Linked DNA regions of Sus scrofa. The protein of the gene in region 2 binds, or shares a complex with, the protein of the main gene of each other region. Links are inferred from orthologs where the notes say so. Each region holds a gene or a part of one and is shown on either strand. Other genes may lie near its edges.

Region 1 (3,881 bases), on a different chromosome or scaffold from region 2:
CGGGAGTCCGAGGGACTCAGTGTTTTGGCCTTAGTCTCACCGGTTAAGTTAGACTCACTGGAGGTGGGACCCTGGCATTAATATTAAAAAACATGAAATTACCGTGTGGTCCCAGTGTGCAGTCAAGGTTAAGAATCGTTACTTAGGAAAGTAGGCCGGGCCCTAATAATCTGAAAGCACGAGGTCATTGCCGGTTATGGTGAAGAGCAGTGCAGTGAAAGATTTTCAAATTTTACTACATAATTCTAGAGGTAGAAAATGATACTAAGTCATATATAGTTGTCGAATTATCCTCTGTGGGCTTGCTTTCTCTCTTTCCCCTTTGTATCATGTTTAGGTGAGATTGAAAGATTCACTTGTCAGCTCCCTTCAGTTTTGTAAGGCAAAAGATGCTGAATTAGCTTGGATAGACGGTGTCTTAGACATGAGAGTTTCCAAAGTAGACACAGGAGTTATTTTAGAAGAAGGAGAGCTAAAGGATGACGGCGAAGACGCAGAAATGCAGGTGGACGCTCCTTCAGACTCCAGCGTCATAGCCCAGCAGAAGGCCATGAAGAGTCTGTTCGGAGATGATGAGAAAGAAACAGGTGAAGAAAGTGAGATCATTCCTACACTGGAACCCTTACCACCTCATGAGGTAAAAAGCACCTGCCACTTCCCTCCCTCCCTTAATTTTCCCTTTATGTTTTTAACCACTTGAAATGTGTCACATATAGACTCATTTTGGAATTTTAAAAACGAGACATGTTTCTGTGTGCGTATGTGTCCTCTACGGCTAGGGAATGATAACAACAGTAAGGTAACCTTGAGCAAGTCTGATAAAATGCATAATTGTGTCATGATTTGTTTTTGCAGTGTGGAATTGTGAATTTTTTTTTTTTTTTTTTGGTGCCTTTTTGCCATTTCTCGGGCCGCTCCCACGGCATATGGAGGTTCCCAGGCTAGGGGTCGAATCAGAGCTATAGCCGCCAGCCTACGCCAGAGCCACAGCAACGGGGGATTCGAGCTGCGTCTGCAACCTACACTACAGCTCACGACAACACCAGAAACACCAGATCCTTAACCCACTGAGCAAGGCCAGGGTTCGAACCTGCCACCTCATGTTCCTGGTCGGATTCGTTAACCTCTGAGCCACGACGGGAACTCTAAGTTGTGAATGTTAAGTTTGATGATTGTGAGGGTCACCCACCTGCTGCTTTTTTTTTTTTTTTTTTTTTTTTTTGTCTTTTTTTAGGGCCGCACCTGTGTCATAGGGAAGTTCCCAGGCTAGGGGTCCAGTCCGAGCTATAGGTGCTGGCCTACACCACAGCCACAGCAACATAGGATCCTAGCCACGTCTGCAACCTACACCGCAGCTCACAGCAACGCCAGATCCTCAACCCACTGAGCGAGACCAGGGATCGAACCTGCTTCCTCGTGGATACTAGTTGGGTTCATTAACCACTGAGACACGAGGGGAACTCCTCACCCATCTGCTTCTAATCAGGAGATTTATAATATTCTAGGAATCTCACACTCTGACATTCCATTTTAGTATGTTGTCAGTTTGAATCAGTTGTGGTTTTGATAGTGTCAGAAACCTTTTATTTTTGGTATGGGTGTAATTCTAGTCTCGTGTGTTATTTACATGTTCTCAAGAGATATCAAGTTAACTAGAAGAGCTTTCAGGTAATTAACTTACAATAATATTAACTATATTATGAGAGTCTTACATGGCTGTCAAGTGATGTCTTTAGTCCTTCTGTGCAACAAAGAAGAGATGGCCTCTGTCATCCCATCCCTTCTAGTGTCACTCTTGAAGTTGGAGGGAGGAGTTAGAAACTCTCTGGGCTAAAGCTGGCCCTCTTCAAAGCAGCTTCAAAGTGGCAGCATTAGGTCGAAGCACTTGTCTTTCTGTCTAAAACCCATGGCATCCGTCGTATTCACTGTGAGGCGGGAAGGGAAATGGAAGTGGATCGGGGGAGCGTTCTCCTCTGACCTGTAGACAAAGGACTTGGACCAGGAAAGCACACTCTTGGTTCAGTTCTGCCTGCTGGCACTGTAGCTGACCCCCTTCGGCAGGTGGGTGGGGGGAGAGCGTAACATTATCCAACGTCTGCCTGTTATTAGGAGGCGTGACTAATAACACTGATTGTGAAACGTTGGGAACTGTGAAGGGCTTTGTAATGTTAAACAATGAGGTGAAATTCAGAATAACAACTTGGAATGTGATTTACAATCTTGAAATGATCTGTCAAAGGACTTCAGCAGGCAGCAGAAAATATCTTAGAGATCGTGTGTTATTTCACTTTATTCAGTACAACGATATGCCTGCTGTTTTATTTGAAGTTAATTCTTTCCCCTTTAACCTTATCTAAGGTTCCTGGACATCAGTCAGTTTTTATGAACGAACCAAGACTCTCTGACTTCAAACAAGTTCTTTTACGAGAGGGGATCCAAGCTGAATTTGTAGGCGGTGTCCTCGTTTGCAACAATCAAGTGGCAGTCCGTAGAGTAAGTGTGTTTTTAATAAGAGCTGACTTGAACACGGTTTTCTGTTGTGTTATTTGGAATTCCGTAGTTCTCAATTAATTTTACAAGCTGGTGATCCATGATTTACGTTCCTAATGATGACCTTGAAAGCTTTTAAAAGTGATTCTCAGAGACATGCTGTGTAATTTTATTGTAGAGGTTTATTTGAATCCTCTGACATTTCTGTGTCGATGTAAAATGCATGACTTGAATATTATATCCATATTCTGTGAATCAGAGCAGCCCTTTTCCTGACCAGTCATAAAGTAATCTAGTTTATATTTTGGTTATTATTCATGAATAGAAAATGTACTAAAGAACTTATTTAAATTTTTTTTTTTTTACTTTGTTTCTAGACGGAAACTGGACGCATTGGATTAGAAGGCTGCCTTTGTCAAGATTTTTATAGGATAAGAGACCTTTTATATGAACAGTATGCCATTGTGTAAAGGACATGATGTCAAGAAGTATCTGTTTGACCTTTCTAAGAAAAAAGGATCTAAGAAAAAAGAACTCTTACTCTAAGCTTTTGCTTTTTTGTTTTGTAACATACAAAAAGAATCTGCCAGAAAAACTTAACATGCATTAGATTTTTAAAAGTGTAAGTGGAAACCATATCATTGCTAATGCTCCAGTGAGCATGCGACCTTTTGGCTTTCGGCGTGATAGAGATCCTTACAAGTGTGCAGCCCTGGCTGAAGGTGACTGGCTTCCTTTTCACACCCCTTATTCTAGAAGGGCTTTTTACTTGAATAAAACAGTGCAACTTAGCAAACCAGTTCATGGCCTTCAAGAAACATGTTTGCATGAATTCTTGTAAACGGTTTCTTCCATATTCTGGAATGAAAAGTGAGACTTTACTTAGAAAGGATGTGCTGTAAAAAACCTGATAAAACAGCTTTTTGAGGCTTATCTCTTTCAAAAACAAAAAAACCCAGTATACGTGCTCTAGTTCTTTGGAATTCCTCTATGCAGTTTTCTTCACATTCAGCTTCGCTCTTCATGACTGCGTTTCACGGTGGTTTTACTCTGCTGTGAGATAGTACACATCTGGTTCAGAAATCAGTTTTTATTTCTCCCATTTCTTGTTCCATTAAGATCTTGTTGTTGTTGAGCTTAAGTTATAACACCACAAAGTTATAAAAGTTATAAAAGTTCAAAAGTTATAACATTTGAATATACGTCATTCAAAAAAAAACCTCCTTGATGTGTTCTAGTCTTAAGGGTTCTGCATGCATTTTAGACACATCTTAACCATCAGCTGGGATGCTGTGTTGGAGACGGTTTAGTGTTTTGCTTTTAGGGAAATAAATGTTGAACTTCATATTTTTTAATAAGGTAATAGTATAATGAAAAGGTGTAAATGTTTT
Region 2 (3,881 bases):
GTCTAAATCTCCTCAAGATAAAAATATAATTCTCGGAGTTCCCGTCATGGCGCAGTGGTTAACGTATCCGACTAGGAACCATGAGGTTGTGGGTTCGATCCCTGCCCTTGCTCAGTGGGTTAATGATCCAGCGTTGCCGTGAGCTGTGGTGTAGGTCGCAGACGAGGCTCGGATCCCGCGTTGCTGTAGCTCTGGCGTAGGCTGGTGGCTACAGCTCCGATTCGACCCCTAGCCTGGGAACCTCCATATGCCGCGAGAGCAGCCCAAGAAATAGCAAAAAGACAAAAAAAAATATATATATATAATTCTCTTCCCTCGAAGCAAGCAAACTCGTCATGGGATACTTCTTAAGAGCACGGAATGTGATGATTCAAATAAGCAGCATTAAAATAACCCAAATCTGCTGTTCCCGTCATGGCTCAGTGGTTAACGAATCTGACTAGAACCCATGAGGTTGCGGGTTGGATCCCTGGCCTCGCTCAGTGGGTTAAGGATCCAGTGTTGCCGTGAGCTGTGGTGTAGGTCGCAGACACGGCTCGGATCTGGCGTTGCAGTGGCTGGTGTAGGCCAGAAGCTGCAGCTCTGATGGACCCCTAGCCTGGGAACCTCCCTATGCCGCAGGTATGGTCCTAAAAAGCTAAATAAATTAATTAATTAAAATAACCCAAACCTGCAAGGGCTGGAAATCATTAATTTAGGTAAATACGGTTCCCACTGTTGGAGTTTTAAATTCCCTAATTCTGCCTCTTGCTTTACAGTGGTTGGCAAACCCTTCCAATGATATGTATGCAGATACGGTAACAACCGTGATATTAGAAGTTCAGTCAAACCCGAAAATAAGGAAAGGTACAAAATTACTTTATTTTTTATCCATTAATTCTTTCATTTCTCCCATGGTCCTCTGAAGTAAGAAGCAGAAAACAGAGTCCTAAAGAACTCAAAACCTGATTTTTTCATTCCTTTAACTTCTAAAATATAATATATGCATAACAATGCACATTGCTCATATTTTATTTACTTTTTGTCCTGAGTCTTCATTCACGCTGTAAAAATACGGTTGCCGTGAACGCAAACACAAAATCTGTTGGTAACGGTGTCTTAAAAAGAGTTTAATCAGAAATTCCAAAATGCTGCTGAATCGAACCAGCACGGCCACCAGGAGAGCGGGCTGCTGCTGTCTCCGTGTTTGACGAAACGTTGAATAAACCACTTTGGTTTCTCAGCAGCTGTGTTCCGATTATTGATTTGGAAAGTATTCTAAATAGGGCTTTGGAGATTGAACGCCCTGTTGCTTTTTCTTTCCAGGTGCAGTCCAGAAGGTTTCCAAAAAGTTAGAGATGCACGTTTACAGCAAGAGGTTGGAGATCATGCTCCAGTAAGTGTGGCGTCCGCTCCCGCTCCGCAGGGCGGCCAAGCAGGGGCTGGGGAGGAGGCCCTTCTGGTGGCGTCGCCACCTGCTTGTGCGGCTCAGACAAGGTCCCTTAACGAGTCCGGGGGCCTCTGTTTCTGCCAGCCAAGGGGTTTGAACCACTTCCTTCCAGCTAAACCCTCTCACCAGTTCTGAGTCCCTGTGACCTGCTTGGCCGGCCACTTTGCTGTAAATACCTTTTACTTAATGTAGAGCCTCACGATGCTTCTCTGTGGCTCACGTAGCAGGATAAAACCTTGTCATCAAGGACAGGTACTCAAATTTTAACCTCGTGTCAGTACGCCTCTAAGAATTGTTATACACTTACTTCTCTCTGAATAGAGCTCCACAGGAGCAGTAATTTTCTGGACTCTTTCAGATAGTAAGTCTGTAAACCGTCAGTCACCTTTAGACTTTTCTCGGAATGCCAGCGATCAGGCCTTTCCTCCACTGTTTCAGAATAATTTTTTCCAAACAAAATAGTCATCTAAAACTGCCTCTTAGTGGATAACTGCAATTTAACCTTATGTATGATATCCCAAAAAGGAAGAAGAAAAAGATTTGAATTGTTTTATCATTTCAGCATCTAGCGTAGTGCCTTGAACACAGCAATCTCTCAAACACTTGCTGAGTAAACGACCGCTTCTGTTTTTAAGCTGAAGGTTACTTACTTAGATGGTTTGGTAAAATACGGCGCTCTGCAGGCTTGGAGGTTTTTATGTTACTGTATCTCTGTCCCTCCCTTTCCCCCAAATTCCACGCTGATAATCTTCTACAGCAGCCATTTACTGGCTTTTTAAAATGGGTGATAGGCTTTAAATGGTGGCTTACAAACGGTGTCACACAGCTTCAGAAGTGCTCTTGGTGGCGTCATTTTGATTTTAAAAAGCACACCTGCCATACAACCTAAAAACCAGCCGACGGTTTGCACTGCCGTGAAAAGGCTGTGGGTCCCGTGTCCGCCGGTTCCCAGCGCTGCTCCTCTGCAGTGTCTGAGAGCCTGGCCTGCCAGCCTGGGAGTCTGCGTGTTTTAATCATTTTAGACCCTGACTCCTCGAGCTGTGGAACTTCACCTGGAAGGGGAAGCGCACACACAGCCTTATCTTTGGTTTTTAAGGAGTTAGACGCCCCTTTCTCAAGCGCCTCTTGGGACCCCAGGGGGAAAAGCCCTTTTGTAGCAGACAGGTGACAGTGCTCTCCTGTGCCTGTCCAGGGGACGCATCGAGCGCAGTCGTGCTGTGAGCAGCTCTGTTTTCAGCGGCTTTACAGAAATAGAAAGCCCTGTGTTGCCCTGGCATGGCTGAGCTTCCCAGGTGCACCCATGGGTGCCGGACGGAGGCCTGGACCCTGCGCCTCCGCGGGGCCGCACGCAGGCATCCGCTCCAGGCTGCTGGCCCTTCGCCCTCGCCATCCCCTGGTCTCCTGCCCCGGACCCTGCCTGGGCCACCTGCCCTCCCACACACACCCTTCCACAAACGCGGGCACAGGAGGCCAGGGCCAGGGCCCACACGCGCCCCCTGAGTGTGAGGTGCCGGCTTGTTTCAACTCCCAGGTCGGTCCCAGTCTGAAAACTGCAGCTGTCACTCCAGCTCTTTAAATCCTTAGGATTATATGTGGATAAATTTCTTTAACAAACCGACAACTGGTTGCATAAAAATGAGGCTTGTTCTTTTGAATACATTTCTGTAGTTAAAGTATTTTCCCTTAGTACAAGGTTGCCCAGCCAGTTTATTCAAACGTATCATTCCCATGACTGCCCGGAAGAGCAGGCAGTTAATGTCCCTTCTCCCCCGACCCCTGCCCTGGAATATAGCTTTTTTCAGTGCTCGACTGTCAAGCTGACCCGTGTCTGGGGAGTTTTTCGAGTCACTGACTACCATTCCTCGCCTGCGTCCCGCCCGCTGCTTCGGCTGTGGGTTGCAGGTGTCTCTGTCATTGATGGGGACAAGTGTGGAAACGGATCGACCGACCGTCGCTCTTCGGTGACGGAGGCAGCGTCTCGGGATTTTCCACCTCCCCGGGGGCCCAGCGCACCCGGCACGGAGAAGATGCTCCGTGAGCCCAGGGTTAACCGGAAGGAGGCCTTCGGAGCGGGTTAAAGGGCTGGCGGCCCGTGGACCTAGAGGCCTGGACACGTCGCCCACACGGGTGCCCACGAGCCAGGGGCTCCAAGCAGGTGCCCTCACTGCCTCGTGCCTAAAGGACTCCCTGCCACAGTTATTATAGGTGACGAGAGCGGATATGAAGTGCCACGTGTGACGCTTGTTCTTAATAAATGATAGCTGTATGTATTTCCTGCCTTACAAAATTAATAAAATGTGCGAAAATAAGTAAGTGCATTTCAGGAGTAGATATAAGGACTCTACCTCAGAACGAGGGCCTATCGCAAATATTATTATTCCCCAAATCTTTACGTATTTATGGAACAGTTTCCACTAATGCCGCCCCTTTGCTTATCCTAAGGGACATATTT
Region 3 (3,881 bases), about 120 Mb from region 2:
ACCTCCCAACCGAGTGGCTTCCTGGCTCTGGCCCCGAAAGTACAGGAGCCCTGGGCTACAAAGCCCAGGCTGTCACGGCCGCCCCCACAGGCAGGAGTGCCGGCTCTGCCGGAGAACAGTTGTTGGGTTCACCCCACACCCCCCAAGGGTGGGCTCAGGGCGGCCACATTCCCGGCGGCTCGGCCTCTAGCGTGAGCGGGGCCAGGCCGGGCTTCGGCAACAGGCGGAGTCCAGCCAGGTAAGAGTGAGGCCTCAGGATCGGTGGGCTGTTGACGCAACCTGCTGAGACCCCGCCTAGGACACCTGGCCCGCCTCGGTCTGGGCCCCCACCCACCCATCCCGTAACCAAACTCACGGTGCCCTTGGTCTGGGGGCACTGCTGCAGATTCTCTGTCTACGGCACTTCCCTCCCTCATGCTTGGGGGGACCAGCCCACTGCTGGGTCGTGGGACCCTCGCTTGGGAGACTGGAGCCAAATGGTCCCTCGCCCCGTTCCCAGCATCCTCCTTGCAGTTGGGAGGCTCCACGCGGAGCAGTTAACCGCTCAACCTCGGCCTCAGGCCCGCTCCGGGTCTGCTCCCACCCAGCAGGGCCCCTCAGGTGAGTCCCACTGGCAGAGGGAAGGGTTGGAACCGGAGGCCCCACGCCGCCCTGCACTCCACTCCCGGGCGCTGGCAGGCGGGAAGGGAGACGCACGTGGGACCTGGCTCAGGCAGACGGCCCTCTACCCCCAGAGGAGGGTGCCAGCTGCTCTGCTGCCTGGATTTTCTGCTGGGTCTAGGGGGACCCCTGCCCCGCACACGGTCTCCAGCCAGGTCCAGAGCAGCCCCGCACTGAGGCGGGCACTGAGTTTTCTGCTGCAAGGGCACTGCCAGGGCCGGCAGCACCACGGGGCGAGGGCACGGTACCTTTGCCGGAGGCTGCGTCTGCTGCGGCAGTGGGGGCTGCTCCGTGGTTCCCATTGGCAGTTCAAATCGAGGGCTGGTCACCCGGCAGCAGGAGGGGACGGGAACGAGAGACGGAGGAGAGGATGAGAGAGGAGGTCGGCCAGGTGGGGGTCTCAAGCTCTGGCCTCGGGAAGACCACAGCCAGTCTCGAGCCAAGCACAGGGCCACCCAAAGCACCTGGGCACGGGGTGGGTGCTGGCGCTCAGTTCCACCCAAGGCCTCGGGATGGTGGGGAAGACAGATTTGCTGTGCCTGGCCTTGGACCCAGCTCTGTCTACACTAGGTGTGAGCCCAGCAAGCGCTGCTCAGAGAAGGGAAAGAAATAGCTGGCGTACACGAAGGCCCTCCCGACACACACCCTGCCTTTCCCGCAGGGCAACTGAGTGTCAGAACTGATAGCAGGCTCCCCGGCCACCTACCCAGGGAGAGGAGCCCTGTCAGCAGCACCCGCCACCTGCCCACCATGTGGCAGCGGCCAGGATATGCTGCTTCCGTGCCGGTGTCAGCAGCAAGGACAGATGCGGTGCTGCCCCATGACCACCCAAAGTGACAGCCGGGCACAGAGGCCCAGGAGACGAGCAATGCGCCCTCCTGAGCAAGGAGGACCGGGCTTTAGAGGCCACACAGCTGCCTTTGACCAGGTGGTACCACCTGTGCCACATGACCCTGGCCTCAGGTGTGAGATGGGGACCCTCTTGCACACATGAGGGTTCTAGGAACCAGTGTACACGGAACACCAAGCTCAGCGTCTCCAGAGGGAGGCCCTGAAACCGAAATCCTCTCCCTGAGGGCACAGGCTCTTCACCTGAGGCCCCCAAGTGATGAGCAAGATTACACGTGCACAAGGGTTTTGGGAGCCTGGGGCCCACAGCTTCCACCTGAGTCCTGGATGACCTATGACCCCACAAAGGCTAGAGGCTGGTTCAGGCAGAGCCACCTCTGGACTCAGGAGGCAGCAGGGGTCTCTCCCCACCTCCCACCCCTGCCCAGACCCTGTGCTGACACCATCCAGTGACCACAGCCCAGACGGCCCAGGAAAGACACAGGGCAGCAGGGCCCAGCTACTCACTGCATGAATTTGCACGAGGGCCCCTCCGGGCAGAATCCCACGAGGTAATTCACACAGATGACTCTCCGCGTGTGCCGGTGCCTGCACAGGGGGCCTGTGGAGCCAAGTGTCAGGGGCACTGGGGGGGCGCCCTTGTGCCCCTCCTCTGCCGGTCAGAGCCCTGCCACACTGCTGCCTGGGGTGCGGAGAGCGAGGCCAGGGCTGGCTCTGCCTCCTGTTGAGAAGGGACAGTGGGCAGGCACACATCCTCTCAAACACTAGTTTCTTCATCAAAAGGACAGGTGAGCACGTGGCCTGCAGGGGAGCCTAGGGAGACTCAGGTGACCTGAGGGTGCGGCAAAGCCTCACTAGCCCCTGGTGACTAACACCAGGTTCTGCAGGAAGAGGCGGGACAGGCAGAGGGTCATGTGGGCAGAGGGCGAGAGGACTGGCCTCCGACACCTACCGTGCTTGCAGAAGCCGCGGTCGTACCATGGACAGTCTTTGATCTTGGACTCGGGGTCGATGTGCAGGAAGGGGCACTCCTTGTTGCTGCACTCCCCTGCAGGGACACCGGACACGCGGCCCCTGCGACAGCTGGCCCCCACCCGCCTCCGCCCCCGCCCCCCCAAGGCTGGGCCGCCGTCCAGCAGAGGGGCCCAGGGGGGGGGCTGTGGTGTCCGGCCCCGGCCCGAGACCCAGGGCTCAGGGTCTCAAGAGCCTCAGTTTCCTGACCTGTACGTGGGCAGGGATGGCCCTCCCTCAGAGGTGACACTGACAGAGGCGGGCACAGGGTCCACACACATCAAATAACTCACGGCTCCACCTCTGGCCCAAGGAGGTGTCCTGGGCAGCGTGGGGCCCAGACAGACAGACACACCAGTGGAGACCAGCAGGAAGTTCCCGTTTCCGAGGAGAGCCCCCGCGAGCTCTCTTTGTCTATGCTGCGGCAGGGAAAGGCCTGAGGAGGCTCGTTTTTAGGACAGCCTGGGAACTCACGGCTGGGTCCCTGTGGTAGACGGTGCTGAAGCCTTTGTGACAGCTCCTCTCGGGAGCAACGGGCCCAGCTGGCCACCAGCCTCTCTTGGCCGAGTACAGGCACTGCCACCCCGGGCGGCCACACCCCTTCAAGCTTGCCCGCTCCAGTCCTTGTCCACATGAAAGGCCCTGTGGGGTCTCACCCACCCCCTCTCCAGCCTCACTGGCCTCCCAGCCGGTCCAAGAAGAGTCCTCTGCCCTGAGTGGTCCCGTCTTAGCCTTCGGATCCCAACCCAGGCCCCCTCCTCCGAGGCCCTCTGACCACGCTGTCTCGAGGGCACTTCTTTAAGTGGTCCCACAGCACGCCCTAGGTTCCCAGGCCAGGGATCAACCATGCACCACAGTGGTGAGCCAAGCCGCAGCACTGACAATGCTGGTCCTTAACCTGCTGAGCCACCAGGGAATTCCAACAATTCTCTTCTTTGTCTCACAGGGGGACTGGCCACCTCTTTCCCTGGGGCACTGGAGCAAAAGCGCCACAGGGCCATGACGGGCCTGTCCTCTTTGCTGCTGCCCCTTCAGTGCCTGGCGCAGGTGACAGGAGCTACAGACGGTGTGTCTGCACTGGGACGGGACAGGCTCTCGTCGCAGGTCTGGGAGGCAGAGGGCCCAGGCCCATCTGCAGGGAAGCTGGGAACCCAAGCCAGTGGCAGAGGCGCCCTCAGGAGTCTGCCCAGGGGAGTGGCTCCTGCCTTTGGGGACGATGTCTCCAGATGGGAGAGGCTCCCATGGAGAAGCTGCTGTTGCGCTCTCCCAGGGCTGCTTCCCACGCTGCTGTGGGTGGGAGGGAGGGAGTGGGGGGCTGGGAAGCCCGGGTCCTGTTTTCTACCTGTGCTCTAACCTCTCAA

What was found. Proteins that work in one complex are often made in the same cells at the same time.
Region 1: CPSF3 (region 2) and CPSF2 share a complex: the UniProt entries of both Homo sapiens proteins name them as parts of the cleavage and polyadenylation specificity factor (CPSF) complex. The link is inferred for Sus scrofa from reciprocal best matches to the Homo sapiens genes CPSF3 and CPSF2.
Region 3: CPSF3 (region 2) and CPSF4 share a complex: the UniProt entries of both Homo sapiens proteins name them as parts of the cleavage and polyadenylation specificity factor (CPSF) complex. The link is inferred for Sus scrofa from reciprocal best matches to the Homo sapiens genes CPSF3 and CPSF4.

The regions. Positions count from the first base shown.
Region 1 is NC_010449.5:113,687,121-113,691,001, forward strand, and holds the end of CPSF2 (cleavage and polyadenylation specificity factor subunit 2), read left to right. Parts: intron 1-337; coding exon 338-637; intron 638-2,358; coding exon 2,359-2,493; intron 2,494-2,867; coding exon 2,868-2,960; 3' UTR 2,961-3,404; downstream 3,405-3,881. UniProt on the Homo sapiens protein: Component of the cleavage and polyadenylation specificity factor (CPSF) complex that play a key role in pre-mRNA 3'-end formation, recognizing the AAUAAA signal sequence and interacting with poly(A) polymerase and other factors to bring about cleavage and poly(A) addition.
Region 2 is NC_010445.4:126,871,980-126,875,860, reverse strand, and holds part of CPSF3 (cleavage and polyadenylation specificity factor subunit 3), read left to right. Parts: intron 1-758; coding exon 759-846; intron 847-1,305; coding exon 1,306-1,375; intron 1,376-3,871; coding exon 3,872-3,881. UniProt on the Homo sapiens protein: Component of the cleavage and polyadenylation specificity factor (CPSF) complex that plays a key role in pre-mRNA 3'-end formation, recognizing the AAUAAA signal sequence and interacting with poly(A) polymerase and other factors to bring about cleavage and poly(A) addition.
Region 3 is NC_010445.4:6,380,580-6,384,460, reverse strand, and holds part of CPSF4 (cleavage and polyadenylation specificity factor subunit 4), read right to left. Parts: intron 2,558-3,881; coding exon 2,462-2,557; intron 2,111-2,461; coding exon 2,017-2,110; intron 982-2,016; coding exon 909-981; intron 1-908. UniProt on the Homo sapiens protein: Component of the cleavage and polyadenylation specificity factor (CPSF) complex that play a key role in pre-mRNA 3'-end formation, recognizing the AAUAAA signal sequence and interacting with poly(A) polymerase and other factors to bring about cleavage and poly(A) addition.